2 linked regions of the Mytilus edulis genome follow. The protein of the gene in region 2 binds, or shares a complex with, the protein of the main gene of each other region. Links are inferred from orthologs where the notes say so. Each region holds a gene or a part of one and is shown on either strand. Other genes may lie near its edges.

Region 1 (8,667 bases), about 23 Mb from region 2:
ATGCAGTTGTCAACTGAAACCAAAGTTTTTTTTACCTAGGAAGTTGTACATACATTATGACACACCCTCTATTGTTGGTTAATGTACATGTCAAGTATAAACTTTGAAATCATAACGGTTCTCAAGACATAGAGCCGACATAATATGTATCATAGGACATGGGGTTGTCAACTGAAACTGAAAAATGTTTGACCTTGACCTTTGACCTAGGAAGTTGTACATACATTATGACACATCCTCTGGTGTTGATTAATATACATGTCAAGAATAAACTTTGAAATCATAACGGTTCTCAGGATATAGAGCGGACACGATCTTTATCATAGGACATGCAGTTGTCAACTAAAATCAAAGTTTTTGACCTTGAACTTTGACCTAGGAAATTGTACAAACATTCTGACACACCATCTGGGGTTGTTTAATATACATGTCAACTATAAAGTATGAAATTATAACGGTTCTCTAGATATAGAGCGGACACAATGTGTTACGGACGGACAAACGGACGGACAGACTGATCACTAATTATTCTTTATTTTGTTGGATTACATTAACTAGTATACAGAATTATAAAATATATAACAAAACGCGTTACCTTGGACAAAACCAAAACTGCAAAATAAAAATGTAATGTAAAATGTCTTGTTAAGACATTAGTTTTAGCACGATAACAAAATTTATTAACTGCAACTTGGTATATAAAAATATCAAACATTTGAGGTACACCTTTTATTTTTCTTCGGTCAATTTTGTCAATTCTAAAAGTTGTTGTAATAATGCCCTAGAGTTGAAAGATGGGGTCCGTTCTCATCAAGAAGGCTGGCTGCTGGGAAAACCCAACCATCTCCATGTGTTCTGCTGACGAACCATGAGTAACGGTAGACATATGAAGCAGATTCAAGTCGAGGTAATACAGCCTTCATGTAATTTAGTTGGTCGTTGACAGAGTTTTTCTGCGGACATGCAAATTCGGTAAGCCATATTGGTTTGTGGAATCTATCCCATAATTTCTTTAAGAAATTCATTGTAATGTCTGCATTACACCAATAGGCATGAGTGGCTATGTAATCAACTTGGCAACCATGACAATGTGAAAAAAATTGCTCTAACCATACCACTGGATCTAGGTAACCACCCGGGGCAACGGCAGGGCTTACCAACTTTCTCCCGTGAGCAATTGATTCCAATGATTTCCAGTGAGTTGCTGCATCTTGGGGTGACATATTTGCTTGTTGCCGAAAATTTGGTTCATTGAAACCCAGGACATAGTGGGTGTTGTGTTGTAAATGGACTGGTTCATCAATGTTATGTCGCCATGCCCAGACCATTGGCACATATCCTGATTTTACACTTGACGAACAATGTTTTGTGCTGTGTTGCCACGGAGACTCGTGCCAATCATACCTAAAAGTGTAGAAAAAACGGTTTGCTTAAAAAACAGAAAATTAAACTTTGACACCAGGAGAATAAATCTCCAACCGCGGTTGGCATCGACCCAGTGTTTTTCAATAAACTCTTCATAACCAGGATTAAAATTGTGTATATGTGCCAGACTATATGCGTTTCGTCTACAAAAGACTCATTATTTACTCTCGAATAAAGAAAAGTTACGAAGGTGAATTCGAAGAGCATTGGGAACCAAACATTCATATTTACTTTGCCAAATACAGCTAAAGTAATCTTTTCTTGAGGTAGAAAAGCCTGAGTATTTAAAACATGTTAAGTTTTGTAAACAGTTAATTTATAATTATGAACATATCAATGATAGCGCATGTCAACACAAAAGTGCTGACTACTGAGCTGGTGAATAGTCACTTACCACCAGTGGATATTAGTAAGGGCATCTTCGTCTCCACAATGGTAACTGTGTCCGCCATTTATGGCAACTCCCTTTTTGGTGGAAGCTTCACAAAGACTGAAAATCACCAGCAAGCAGAATGTGTAAAGCATTCCTGTTAAAAAATAAAATGTTGGGCATTAATTGGAAAAGAGCTAAACAACCTTGGTATTCATTGTCGAGGATAATCTTTAGAATGTAGTATCATGGTGAAATTTAAAAAAAATCAAGAATTTAAATCGATACTTTTAGTCGGAAGAGTAAAGTAACACAATAAGCTAAGCATTTCGCTAGGTTATGGGGTTCCTTTTTGGAGATATTTATTTTTTTTAAATGACTCGGAATTGTACCTTATATAAAAAAAAAAATGTTATTATCTGGGTCTCAAATTGAAAAAAAACGAAATCTAGAATTTTGGTGATTTACCTTTTATGAGCTTAAGAAGTCTTATAAGAACAGAAAAATGGGCGTAATGGGGCAAAATTGGTTTACTCTGTATCATGGGGGACAAATTAGGAGTCCGACCATCTGATACAAATTCCTAAAATTGACATAAGTACACCCTTTAATAATCTTTCAAAAATCTGAAGAAAAAAATAATCAGGTTCAAATAGTAGATAGAGCGACAGAGGCAAACCACGTCACATTAGGACTTTAGTAAGAATTACGACCAAATTACTTAAGAACTCTTTCAGATGCCCATAATTGTAAGTGACCCGTTCCAAGTTTATTTTTTCGTCCTGATTATAATTAAAATAGTTTCTACTGGATATTAAGAGAGCAACAATCAATTAATTACATACCTATTAATTCGTTTAGTAGTACGTGTATTCGAAGATATCTTTTCAAGAAACCAAGGAAACTACCCGGTATATGCTATAACTATATATACGTTAACAATAGTTATAAGAAGATGTGGTATGAGTGCCAATGAGACAACTCTCTATCCAAGTCACAATTTGTAAACTAAGGTAAACCATTATAGGTCAAAGTATAGTCTTCCACACGGACCATTGACTCACACAAGCTTTTAGTGTATTTTTTTTTATATTTTTTATTTTTTTCTTACCTTACAGTGGTGTTTGATTATTTTTGAGACTTCTACAACACTAGTGCTATAGTAGTCTCAGATTATTTGAACTAAATGTACACTCACCCATGTTTTGGTATTACAAATCCTGTCGTAATACGACACTGATCTTGTACCTTAACATTGCTTTTCATTTTATATAGACTGTTTATCTTTATCTCTTAAAGATAACCCAGGTGTTAATTTCAAGAATGACAAGTGTTACTATGTGTTTCGATTATGCCACCGATCCAAAAGAAATGACCTGAAAGACCTAGTTAATTTAAAACAAAATATACGTATATATAATTTGGGTGTTGCTTCGGATTTTGATGAAATTCTGAATGTATCTATATCTCGTTAAACTGCATCTGAATTCCGAAAACTAGCGTTTATAGTTTGTAATGATAGTCTTTTGAAAATGTAATAAAGCTGTATAAATGTATAGAATATATGTTAAAAAAATAACGTAAAAGATATGCACTTTTTTCAATTTATATTGGAATTTCTTGTAATTCTTACAGCTGTTAACAGTATCGTTTTAACAATACGAAATTATAAGGGGGTCGCCAGATTCTTTTTGCTGTATGTACTGTCGGGTATTGTGTGAAAAATAGAAAAGTAACGATTGTCTTTTTTGTTGTTTTCCGGTCCAATTTTCAAGTTACATGTATCGAGGCTTATGGATTTCTATTGACTTATAAAAATAAGGAGATGTGGTATGATTGCCAAATGAGACAACTCTCCACCAAAGTTCAAAAGAAGTCGATGTAAGCAATTATAGGCGACCGCAAGAACGTTTCAATAGCTTTAGTTTTGTATTAATAAACACCCTATTTGACCTGACTTGGCACTAACATTAAAAGGTCGTTTGACTTTTTATCTGCACTCAGTTAAAGCCAGTTATTACTTGTTCAGGTATAAATGATAATCGATTCTGGATTATTTCACACAAGAGTTTAAGCAGCTTAAGGCTGTATCCTAGGTGTAAGATGATTGACCATCATTTCACTGCCTCACGGCTTTGGTCCTGATAACGCTTCCTGTCATCTTTAGCACTACGTCCAAGACTCATCTACCAGTACTCCATCATCGAGGTTAGCGGGCTGCCAAGCTGACCAAACTGGCCCTGAAAGCAGCCGTTGTGAAGAAATAACAACAAAATAGTAAACAAACCTAAAAGAACTCTCAAAACCAAGATGGCGACCTCCAAAATGGCGACCACCACCTGTCAAATTGGTACTTTTACTATAGGGTATTATTTAAAGATCGAAATAAGCTAAAAAAAATATTGATAGGTCATGGAGCTCCTTTTTGAAATATTTGATTTTTAAAATATGGCGGGCGGGAAAAGGCTGACTCGGACTTTACCTTATATTTGCATTGGTATTATTTGGGTCTCGAATCACAAGAAAGAAAATCAAGAATCTGTTTAAATTCTGTCAAATGACCTTTTATGAGCTATTTAGAATAGTCTTATGTTAAAGATGAACGGGTTTTATGGAGAAAAATATTTTACCTTGTATCGTATTGAAAAACACCGAGGAATCCGAACAATTGACCCTCACCTAAGAACATCCTTAAAACAAAGTGCAGGACAAAATTTTCTTCATCCTAGCTCCCCACCCTAACAAAATCAAATGGTAACTTCTTTATTGAATCCATTCATTTTATGTAAAATAATTCAATTTAAATTTAAATCCTAGCAGAGCAGTGGCGGATCCAGAACTTTTCCTAAAGGGGGGGGGGGCTGACTTACCTAAGGAAGAGGGGGCGCTCCAGTCATGCTTCAATGATTCCCTATATAATCAACCAAATTTTTCCCACGAAAGAGGGGCCCAGCCCCCGCAGGCCCCCCTAGTTCCGCCTATGCAGAGACATGTATACTAAATGTATTTATATGTCTCTGATCCTAGACATCAAACGTGTTATCCACCAGTTTTCAACGCAAATATTGCAGGCAATAGCCCTCTTATTACATGCAGTGCCCTAAAACGAAACACAAGAATGTATGTGCAGCTGCAGAAATGTCTCGTTCACTGACAATTGAGTTTTATGTTGAAAGTCTTAAAAGTAAAGGTAAGACTAAAAGCATCACAGAAAGTCCGGTTCGATAAATGATGTCAGAAAAACATATACACTTACATTTTTTTATTACACAAAATATATTTCAATGATTCAACTTTGAACCATTTCATTTGAAACTGTAATTAATTTGAAAATTAAGCTCGACTAAGAACGTTGTTGTGCTTTGTTCTTATAACTTAAATTTTGTGTTATTGTGTGTATTATAAGTTGCTCTCCGTAAAGGATATCACTTCCGTTTTCATCTAAAAATGAAAAATTCGACAGTCTAAAGTTAAACTACAGATTATAGTACTTTGCGTCTTATTTTCGATGAATGCAATCAAATCATTGTTACAGAATGTTGTGAAAACTACACCACATTCTTATGAAACTGCTCAAGGTTCACAAGAACTGTACATCGACGTAAAAAATAAGAACAACAAACCAGACGTCGTTTCTTCAAATGAAACTGGCAAGACAAAATCTGCAGTGGTGTTACCAGTTATCGACCAAGAATGTAAACAACTCCAGGAAACCATATTTGGTAAATTTTATGACTTTATGTGCACATTCAAGTACTTGTTCAATCTTGTAAAAACTTGGTGTCATGTCAACCTCTGTTGTTACAACCAACCAGTTGAATCCGGGTCCGTTTGCACCCATTCACGTTCGCACCCATTCATGTTCGCCCCTTTCACTTTCGCACCCTACATGTTTGCACTCAAAGTCTGTTTGCACCCAACATGTTCACGCCCAATTTTAATTGGTTTTGTATTTATTAACTATAGCTTTTTTATCAAGTTTTGGCAAGTGTATTCTTATATTTGTTGTCATTGTCTCAAAATAAGTGAGACAGCATTTTTGGAAAATGACGCAGTCATTGTTCCATTACTGGCGACCTGAACTTCATTACATTTCTCTGCCTACCGCGCTTGGTTTCGTATTTACTATTTTCTATACAAACTAGAATCTGCTTGTGTTATCATTAATTATGCATGAGAGGTCATTGTGTAGTAATCAGCCAGGAACCAGTTTACAAACTAACTGGTTTCTGCTTGTATTCCACTAACTCAGACAAAGTGTTGTAGTTTGACGGGAACCAGTTTAGAATTTGTAAACTACAAAACATAATCAGTTATTGTTCATTCCGTTTTGGTGTTTCATACCGACTTTTATGGTTTGAATAAGCTTAAGACCCTTCAAACATTAATGTGATAGGTATATTAAAGACTGTTTTACAAAAGGATGGAACTGTTTTGCTTTCAAAGTCGTACTATAGTGATATCTGTTATGTACGGATTTCCACTCTCTCCGGTTAATTTCTTTTTTTACACGTGCTTTTGAAACTTCCTGTTTAAACATTGCAAGTTTTAAAATTGTTTTTTGAGTGAATTTAACTTATTTTAACAATCATGAAGCGTTCCAGAATCATTTTCAAGCAGTTTCTTCTTCTCTTTGATGATGGAAAATAGGTTTTTCTCAAGAAAATACCGCAAACGATCGCAGAGGAATTGAAACGTACAAGTCAAGTCGGCACCTGGTTAAATTGGCATCTAGTCAAATCGGCACCTATTTGACGTCAATTCGGCATCCAATAATATTTGTTATAATATTTTCTATTCAATTAATTAATAACTGTTACCCAGTACATAGTGAATATGTTGTTGTGTATTTAGGTAAACAACGAAACCAAAGTGAAATTATGTTGTTGTGTATAAAGGTAAACAACGAAGACCTTACCCAAGCTGTTGTTTTAACAATTAGACAATTATTAAAAAAAAATGGAAAACTATGAGTCCCTTTCAATAAATCAAACTTTCATGCCAAATAATAAGCAAATTTAAGGTGTTTTTTTTTCAGTAAAGTCAAGGATTTGTATAGTAAGAAATATATACAAATCCTTGGTAAAGTTTAAAAAGCATTAAACAAACAATCCTGTCAAATGCTCAACTGGTTTAAATAATGCATAAAAATATCCAATATCTCATGTATTAGTCCAAATAATTATGACGTCTGGCAAGGCTATTTTATTTTTTTTCTGTGACGTCTTCCTACGAAGTTCGTAGGAAGGCGTCCCAGAAAAAAATTAACATAGCCTTGCGGTCATAGAAAGGTGTCCCAGAATAAAATTAAAAAAGCCTTGCCAGACGTAATAATTAGTTTGACTACTCATATATATATCATTAAAAATACACCAAAAATGTCATTTAGTTGAGAAAAATAAATATATACAAAATGACTAAATGTACAATGAACACCCAAAAATGTGAAAGTTAGTATTTAACTCTTTTTGCTTAAATACTGAAAAAAATTCTGGCAACCCCTTACTTATTTTTACTCTATTTGCTTAAAATACTGTTAAAATATATATTTAACATGGGTGACGAATTGACTATATCAGGTGTCGATCTAACCAGGTGCTGATTTGTCCAGGTGCCAATTTAACCATGTTAACCAGGTGCCGGTTTGACTAGAATTCTTTGACAAATGTTTGAAATTACCGGAGTTTCATTAGACCTTTGATAACAGTAACAAAAAGATTATTTACTTAATATTTTGTGGTATCAGGTCTGTTCGCCCCCAATACACTTTCGCACCTTGCAGGTTTGCACCTCGCACGTTCGCACCTCGCACGTTCGCACCCAAGGTCCGTTCGCACTCTACTCATTCACGCTCAATTTTAATTCAAATTCAAGTTGAATAATTGGAAAATCATGATTGTTGTTTTAAATTGCTTTGGTGTAAATACTGAATATATTTATAGCTTGGTATGAGTAAAACATTGAAGATTTTAAAGGAAAAACACAAAAGATAATTGTTTTTAACAGCTTGGTCCCTTTGATCTGAAACAACGAAACAATAAAATATGGGAACCAAAATATAGCAATCCACTATTATAACCAAAACTTGATAAAATCTATTCAACACACAGAAAAAAACATAGTCAGAATCTCACTTCATTTTGAAAGAAGTCAATGAAACAAAGTTATAGCAATACACTAACCAAAACATGATTAAGAGTTATTCAACACAAAATAAAACGTTGACAAAATACCACTTTAATTAGAAAGGATTATTATTATTTTTAACAATACGCTATCCAAAACATGATTAAGATTTATTCAACACAAATAAAAATGCTGTCTCACTTTATTTTGAGACAATGACAACAATTATACTTATAAGAAAACACTTGCTTACAGAGTTATTAAACACAAAACCAATTAAGATTGGGTGCGAACATTTAGGGTGTGAAAGTGAAAGGGGGCGAACATGAGTGGGCGCGAACGGACCCGGATTCAGACTATGTACCAGTGAGAAATATACAAGCCTTTCTACGGTATTTATTTGTACAATTCAGGTAGTCTTGACCTATTCATTTGTCTTAAAAAAACAGCCAGTTGTCACCTTCACTTCACACACACACATATATACGAATATCAATTATATGCTTACAAGACATGTTGCATTGTTAAACTAATTACGGTATGTGAAAATCAAGACTTGCATAAAAACTATCCCAATATTAGAGACAGTGGCGTCATTTTTCTTCAGAGCTTTCAGCTCTTTGATTTTTTTGTGTTGAATAAATCTAAAGTCATGTTTTGGATAGTGTATTGTTAAAAAAAAAATCCTTTCTAAATAAAGTGGGATTCTGTCAACGTTTTATTTTGTGTTGAATAACTCTTAATCA
Region 2 (8,750 bases):
CACTCTGCAAAGTTTGAAACTTTTACCACAATCTGAGCAATTGTTTCACAATTCGACTGGACTATACAGCGTATAACGTGATAATAGACCTACAAACAACAAACACAAAGCTATCAAGATTGTATGAGCTCTGACTTCATAGAAATAAAAACAGACCCTGAGATTAGTATGGCCAAAAATAAACACCTCTGGCACTGTGTTGATAGTAACTATCGACCTCCATCAGATAAAATTCAGAAGTCAAAATCAGACCAGCATGAGAAGACAAATTAACATAGAACATAAATCCGCACACAGCCAGTGAACCAGATAGCATCCGCAGTATATAAAAGACCGGAGAACACAGATAGCACCTATCTGAATCGGTCTACCAAATTGGGAGAAACAGGTCAGCACCATAAGACTCGAAAAAACAGTATATATATAATTGGGAGAAACAGGTCAGCACCATAAGACTCGAAAAAACAGTATATATATATATATACTGTTTTTTCGAGTCTTATGGTGCTGACCTGTGCTGACCTGTTTCTCCCAATTTGGTAGACCGATATATATAACCAGCATATGAAAAGGGTGATCGTTACCATGATGGAATTAATAGACTTGTTTCTTTAATCAGTATATGTTGCAAAGTAATAAAACACATTGTGACCGACTAGTACCATCACTGAATATTAAGAAGCAACAACAGCTTTTGTTAAAGTCCATATTTAACCAAATGGCATAATCAAAAGCTCAAACACATCAAACGAAGGATAACAACTGCTATATATTCCTGTCTTGATTCAGTCATTCTTATGTACAAAATGTGGATTAAACCTGGTTTTACAGCTAGCTAAACCTCTCACTTGTGATATGTTTATCTTTTTAATACTGGTTAATAAAATCTTTACAGTGTGTACTGGCTGGTCATTATCGCGTATGATACGATTTTGACACGCCTACATAGCTGATGAATATGTATGACCATAGATAAGGACAGCGCGTGTAGCCATAGACTGAGAGTTGTAGATTTGTAGTATAACTGTACATATGTATCTTTGAGAATATAGAATAGATACAAGAATTATATTGTTTGTAATATTAATAATCCGAGCAAGCAAAACACGGATCTATCACTTGCAAAATGCAATATGTATGACATTCGCAAAAAATTCCATTATATTGACAACGATGTGTGAAAAAAACAACAACAGACGTAATAGGTAAAATTGTCAATAACATGAATAAGAGGTTCAACATTGTGTTATGATCTAAATCAGTATAAAAATGAACAATTGCGTCATAATTCATCAAAAAAAGCTATAACAACATCAGTAACACAATTATTCAAGTAGATTTCATTTGAATCGATTTTTGCACTAGCCTTCGTCATTTTGACGAGAGAAAAAGTATAGTCATATAAGCGGAATGTTTGTCAAGCCGTAAGACCAGGTTCAATCCATCCTTTTTTTCTTAATATTTTCTTTAGAAATTCAGGAGTATGGCAGTTGTTATCAGATAGTCCGTTTTATGTATGTTTGGTGTGATTTTGTTACTTTTCAGTGTTTCTGTTTTCCTCTTATAGTGATGTGTTTTCCTTAGTTTTAGTTTGTGACTCGGATATGTTTTCTCTTAATCGATTTATGACTTTTCACTTTGAACAGCGATACTTAGTATTCTACTGTTGCCTTTATTTAAACAAACTTGAAAGGCAAGCACTTGCAGGGCGCCGCTTAATTAAAACCCAGATGTATTATGTTATAGATAAAACTCTTGTACAAGAACATTACACAACCCGAAGCATTTGGCTAATCTCGAGCTGTAGTTTAAGTACCGTAACTTTAGAGGACGGACGACGCACTACGGAGTGATGGCAAGGTGGATTTATATCTAAAGACTGGACGGATCTGTTTGTTGTTCAGGTCTAGAAATTTTGTAAAAATAAATTAAATATATATGATCAAATGAAATCAATATGTTGCCTACTGAGTTCATGGAAACTGCATATGTGCAGGAAACAAAAGAGGGACGAAAGATACCAGAGGGGCAGTCAAACTCATAAATCGAAAATAAACTGACAACGCCATGGCTAAAAATGAAAAAAAGACAAACAGACAAACAATAGTACACATGGCACAACATCGAAAACTAAAGAATAAGCAACACGAACCCCACAAAAAACTAGGGGTGATCTCAGGTGCTCCGGAAGGGTAAGCAGATCCTGCTGCACATGTGGCACATTCATGAAAGGGAAGGGGATTGTAGTTACGACGTAAGGAACACATTCGATATCATTTGTGAAACGGGTATTCCATAACGGTCAACCAATTACTCGTGATGGCGTTCGTAAAATTTACGAAGGAATGATTTCAACTTCACCATTTGGAACTCTTGGTTTAATAGCTTCCTTGTGATCAGCAACCCTCTATCAAGAAAATCATGATAGGAAATGCAAGCACGGGAATATCGTATCAATTGGGAGACATATATCCCGTATGCAGGTGCTGCTGGAATGTTGCTACTTAGAAATGGAAAGTTTACAATTGGAAAGCTGAAATCATCTCTTTTGTAGTAATGTTTTGTTTTCAACCTACCCTCATTGTCAATTTCTAGATGTAAGTCAAGATATGAGGTCGCTTTAACTGTATTTGTAGTATCCTATATCTCTAGTTCGATGGAATAGATGAGTTCAACATAGTCACCAAATTTTGAATTATTTAGCTTTTGAAAGAACATCATCTATATAGAGGAAAGTAGAGTTAAATGACATTGCTAACTTCTTGTCCTTCTTCCTAAGAAATTCCTGTCTGAAGTCAGCCTCATAATAATAAAGAAACAAGTCGACAAGAAGAGGGGCACAATTTGTACCCATTGAAATGCCGACAGTCTGTTGAAAATAAGGTCCTCCGAACGTAACAAATATGTTGCCAATCAAGAAATCAAGCATCTTGATAATGTCAGTTTCAGAGAATTTTTTGTTTGTATCAGAGTGATTCTTTACAAAGTAAGACTTATCCTTCCCTAAGACAAGATGCTTGTACATGTATCTACGTTGGTCATTCTTTTTTTATGAAACAAAGCAATACCAACTCTTTCAATTTGTCTTTTAGTTTGGAATGTGGAATACTTGTGTAAAGTGTAGAAAAGCAAAATGTTTTATTAATACTATTACACGATGAAAGAGAGTTAGATTGTATGTACTCTAAAAGATCTTTGGAATTTTTAAGTATCCACTTGAAAGAACGTGTCATGCTGATCGTATTGGCAGGACCAAGTTGCTGTTGCTCCGTAATATATAATTCTATAGATAATGAGCAGTAATGAAAAAGAAAAACATGTCACACAGTAACTTATTGTAATTTTCGGGAAAGAAACCCTTTAAGGAGTTGATTGACAATTTCGACCCTATAGATTTATTTGTAGAACTTAAAAATTTGCTTATCTTTTTAATATTGCCAAAAAGGGCATAGTTTTCAACACGTTAGGTAAAAACACTAAACCAATTTGTTAAAATCGCCATTTATGACAATGACTTCATCATGTTCATGTAATTGCGAGATGAGTCACAATTTTTGCTCCTTTACTTATTTTTTAGGCCTGATTTAGTAGTCCGAGATTACTCTGACGTCCAACGGCTGTTTTGCCAGACAGCTTTTGTCTGGCAAAACAGCCGTTGGACGTCAGAGTACAGCTTGTCTGGCATAACAGCCGTTGGACGTCAGAGTAATCTCGGACTATGATTTAGATGCTCAGTTATAAAGCTTATATATCATATTTGCTGTCGAACTATATCTCTATTCATCACTATTTTCATGATTAAAAAATTATACCAGTATATTAGTCTTAAGTCGAGACACAAAAAAGCAACTAACATTAAGGCAATTTAACACAGAGCACCCGAAATAGAATAGAAGTATTTGTAGTTACTGAAAGTTTTTTCAAAGCTAACAACAAGTTACACTCAAATAAATCTCGTTCTCCCAGATATATGTATCAATCAGAACACAACCAACGGATTAAGTCAAAAACAGTGTGAGAACCGCAATGACGTCGTACTTATACCAGTTTGGTGGTCAGAAGGTTCAAGTTAACCATCTATAAAGAACTCTGCAATATCTTTGCTTTATACTAATTTTGCTTTACACAAAAAAATCAGTTTAGCAAGTTACTTCAAGATGTCCTTATTGCTCATATACCAGACAAACATTGGCAAATTCTTGTACAATTTAAGATTATTAAAAAAAATAAAAATCAAATGACTTAGTTATAGGAAAGGATAGAGAAAAAAAGCCAAAATTGAGCACATGCTATTACAATATATAGTTTACCAACACAGGCGCTTGGGTCTATGATACAGATTTTTTTTTAATTTTTTTTTTTTATTAAAATATTCAATTTTCTATATTTATAATACATATCTATCACTTCTGTGCATGTCTCACCTAGTTTCGAGCGATTTAAACGACCCAGAGAAAATACCAAATTTTACTATCCATACTAAGAATTATGGATAGTAAAATTTGGTATTTTCTCTGGGTCGTTTAAATCGCTCGAAACTAGGTGAGACATGCACAGAAGTGATAGATATGTATTATAAATATAGAAAATTGAATATTTTAATAAAAAAAAAAAATTAAAAAAAAATCTGTATCATAGACCCAAGCGCCTGTGTTTACCAACTGACGTATCTTCATTTTCCAATAAATAATCGTAAACTTCACTTTTGTCTTCAAAATATTAAAAAAAGAATCTGTATTTATCCGACGGCTCATTGAGTTTTTGATATTTTATTGATAGAAAAAAATGTTGGAAGAGCTAGAAAATTGGCGGGAATTTAAAGGGAGACAACTTTAGCTTGAAAAAGATGGCTGCGCCCATGAAATTGGAAAGTTGTGTTCAAAATTATATTGAAAATACAGTTGCAGACCAAAGGACAACGATAAGCTCGGTCACAAAAGGTATTTATTTTGATTGCTGATCACTTATGTGTTCACGTATTTCTTAATTAAAAATCTACTGCTGAGCGGCCTAATGAAGAAAAGGGGGGAGGTGGTCTTACACAATAAGTCACAGCACAGGGTTTTTTTACCATTTGCCGGGTTTACGACTGTCATACAAGTGAGAGGTTCAGCTAGCTATAAAACCAGGTTCAATCCACCATTTTCTACATTAGAAAATGCCTGTACCAAGTCAGGAATATGACAGAACTTTGTTATCCATTCGTTTGATGTCATGGATGTGTTGGACTTTTGATTTTGCCTTTTGATTTTTGATTTTCCTTTTTGAATTTTCCTCGGAGTTCAGTATTTTTGTATCCATACGATCCCCGATTTTAACAAACCCCTGCGGTCACCGACTCTCAGCAACTGGTTATTCCTGACCTGATAAATATTAAAAAGTGGAGGGTTTTTGAATAACCAGTGGCTGTGAGTCTGACAATTATTGATTAAATGCAATATGTTATGTCACTATACTAAATTAGGAATGTTTGACATGTTTTCATACCATAATATGGTTTTAAGAAAACAATGCTCTATTTCATGTATTTTTGTTGAATAATTTGCTTAAAAAAAATAAATTATACGTCAATTGGTCTATACCATGTATACCATTATATGTCAACTGGTGTATTATATGTCAATTGAGGTACCGTATAATCCACCAATTGGTGGTTATTCCTGACCTGTTTATTACGACATTACACAGGCACTCTTCTTAGAATTTTTTCCCCAATATATGATAGGGAAAAGAAATCTGAGAGAAGTGCATATAAAGGTATATAGAAACAAATATTCTGAGACGAGTGCCTTTGGATATTAGTAGCATTTAATATATATATATATATTACCTTTTTCTATGCTGTGGCCTAAAGCAAACACAGCAGTGGCGGATCCAGCCTTTTTATAAATTAGAAGGGGGGTTCGAACTATTTGTCCCCATACCAAAACATTGATCGTCCAAAAAAATGGGTGTTCCAACCCCAGGAACCCTCCCCTGAATCCCTCACTGCACCAATCAATCGGTTTCCCTAGCCGACTGGACGCAATTACATGTACATGTACAACTGGACACAATTACGAATTATTTCCTATTTTGGCCCACTGAAATCATATTTTATTTTATTTATATTTATCAATAAATGTTTCTATAAATAAAAACCCTATTAAATTGTTTATACAAGTCATGTGAATTCTGTGAATGTTGATGACCATGACAAAATCATTCTGAAAATATTATAAGAACGACAATCTCGCCTGCAAAATAAAAAAAACAAAAACATATATATATATAGGTAAGTGCATATTGCCTTCTTTTGTTAATACATAGAAAGAAAAATATCTCCTGATTCTGTTCATATGCGTGATGCCTTTTATCTTGCCCAAATGACCCCACAATATGACAATTTGACTTTTTTTAGACTCTTGTGATCCTATTTTTGGTCAAAATAACATATGTTAACATGGTTAACTTAAGGTGGTACCTAACACTACAGGGAGATAACTTTTTGAAAATCAGCTAAACGTTTTAATTACATCATGTACATTGTGTTGATAAGGGAATATTAAGCTTCTCAATGATCAAAAGTATTGTCTGTCAAACTGCTATATAACCAGTGTAATTTTTCTGATTAAATGGTTGGTTCAAATGTTTTGAAATTTTTATGTTTTTCATAAGATGAAGCGATACACATAAAAAAAAATCCCATGGAGGTTTTCAAAAGTTGGAAGGTCTTTTTTTGTCAAAGGGTCAAAGTAAGTACTTTGTCAAAATTTTATGAAAATTAAACGAGCCAAATTAATTTTAGTCAAGGTGTTGGGTACCACCTTAATCTAAAAGTCCAAAGAACGCCGTAAGAAATGTTGACCTATTTAAAAAATATCATGATGAATGATAAGTTTACCACCGAGATGGATAAACTTGAATTTAGTGCTCCTTAAAAGGAGGAACTAACACAAAAACAAATATTTCCTTTACACATTCGACAGACATTTTGACTGCCATGTCTGCAACCACTGCTGAAGTAATTGAAGTAAAATACAAACTTGTGCATCTTTTTTTCCTACATGTGTCCTATGGAAATGTGTTTGAGATTAAGATTAGTGTATATGCTTTTATCAATCTAGACTGTTGTCCTTGATTTCTTCTTCAAGATACATTGTATATCAATATAGTGCTGTTTGGAATCGTGTGTATAATAATATGTGGCTCACTTGCCCCGTAAAATGAGGTCACGCAAATCTTACTAAAGTATCCAAACGTGAACAGAAAATTATGTATAGCCTTATACATCTTAAGTTCTATGGTATAAACAATTCAAGAAAAGAAGTCTACATAAAAAATATTAATCACAGTTCAAAAATCCTTTGTAATTGTGTCTGGTGAGGCTATAGTCTAGAACAAAATATGAAAATAGTGAACCATAATTTATTAATAGGTTGTTATAATTGAGGGTAGGAATGCACCTTACTGTCATCATTAGCCATTTTCGGCTAATGTCAGCATCAAATCGGGATTCCTCAACATGTTCCTTCAATCATGATTTATCAGAGGTCTCCAATAATTATCCATTACCTTTATTATTTGTAAATAAATAACATGATTCTTCAAATCAGTTGATTTTTTTATCATTAAATGTTCATTTTGTTTTCATGTACCAAAACTTTACATTAGCAATATGGAAAGATTTTTATTGTTATTCTTTATGAACATAATCATGATAATGAAGGAACCTTAATTATGACCATGATGACCCTCATAAGTTTATCCATATGGCATAAGAACTTATCCATTTTGGTAATCTAGAGCTCAGAAAATTGCTCATCCCAATTTGGCAAAAGTTATTACCATTAGATCCTAATCCTAATTCTACAACCAGATTTCCCCCCGGTCCTTTCCGGTCAATTTTTTTCAAGGTCACATGTCAACCAACAATTTTATGCATATATATATATCTTTCAAAGTGACAAGAGGAAATAAATAAATGGAACAAAGAAAAATTGAAATTTAGAATTTGGCCTTGACCTTTGACCTTGACGTAGTTTTATATTCTTTGGACCAAGGACTGTATCACTTATGGTTTACCAGTTACAAATGCACTTCACTTAAATTTCAAATGCATTAGGGGAAATAACTCTCATATGGAGTCTTCATATTACTTCTTTCAAAATTGGACAAGAACTGTTCAATATCATCTGCAAAAATTTAAGCGACATCTTGCGAAATCATAAAAAATATTTTGAAATTTGGCGCAAGAAGAAAAAAAAAATAATCAGAACAAATACAATAGGTCTTTCAACAGAAAAGTTTAGCAATTTAAAAAAGTCATTTTCAAACAAAATGAAATATATTTCTTGATTATAAAATGAGTTATTTATTTACAGTATATGTACACCTCAAGATGTAGTAAGTCACAATTGTCCAATTTTGTATGTGCTGGTATAATGTATTTGTTTTTATGGCCCGCCTTCAATAGTAGAGGGACATTATGTTTTCTGGTCTGTACGTCTGTTTGTTTGTTCCTACATGTACATTCTTTCTTCCGTCTGTCCGCCCATCTGTCACGCAATAGGTTAAAGTTTTTGTTCAAGGTAGTTTTGATGAAGTTGAAGTCAACTTTAAACTTAGTACACATGTTCTTTATGATATGTTTGTCTTATTCAAATGCCAAATTAGATTTTTGACCCATTTCACTGTCCACTGAACACAGAAAATGATAGTGCGAGTTTCAGGTTAAAGTTTTTGGTCAAGGTAGTTTTTGATGAAGCTAA

The links.
Region 1: MMS19 nucleotide excision repair protein homolog (region 2) and cytosolic iron-sulfur assembly component 2A-like share a complex: the UniProt entries of both Homo sapiens proteins name them as parts of the CIA complex. The link is inferred for Mytilus edulis from reciprocal best matches to the Homo sapiens genes MMS19 and CIAO2A.

The regions. Positions count from the first base shown.
Region 1 is NC_092347.1:67,800,200-67,808,866, forward strand, and holds the start of cytosolic iron-sulfur assembly component 2A-like, read left to right. Parts: upstream 1-5,191; 5' UTR 5,192-5,303; coding exon 5,304-5,517; intron 5,518-8,667. Other genes in the region: uncharacterized protein, read right to left, coding at 759-1,404, 1,820-1,952, 2,994-2,997. UniProt on the Homo sapiens protein: Component of the cytosolic iron-sulfur protein assembly (CIA) complex, a multiprotein complex that mediates the incorporation of iron-sulfur cluster into extramitochondrial Fe/S proteins.
Region 2 is NC_092347.1:91,254,224-91,262,973, forward strand, and holds the start of MMS19 nucleotide excision repair protein homolog, read left to right. Parts: upstream 1-4,807; 5' UTR 4,808-4,846; coding exon 4,847-4,940; intron 4,941-8,750. UniProt on the Homo sapiens protein: Key component of the cytosolic iron-sulfur protein assembly (CIA) complex, a multiprotein complex that mediates the incorporation of iron-sulfur cluster into apoproteins specifically involved in DNA metabolism and genomic integrity.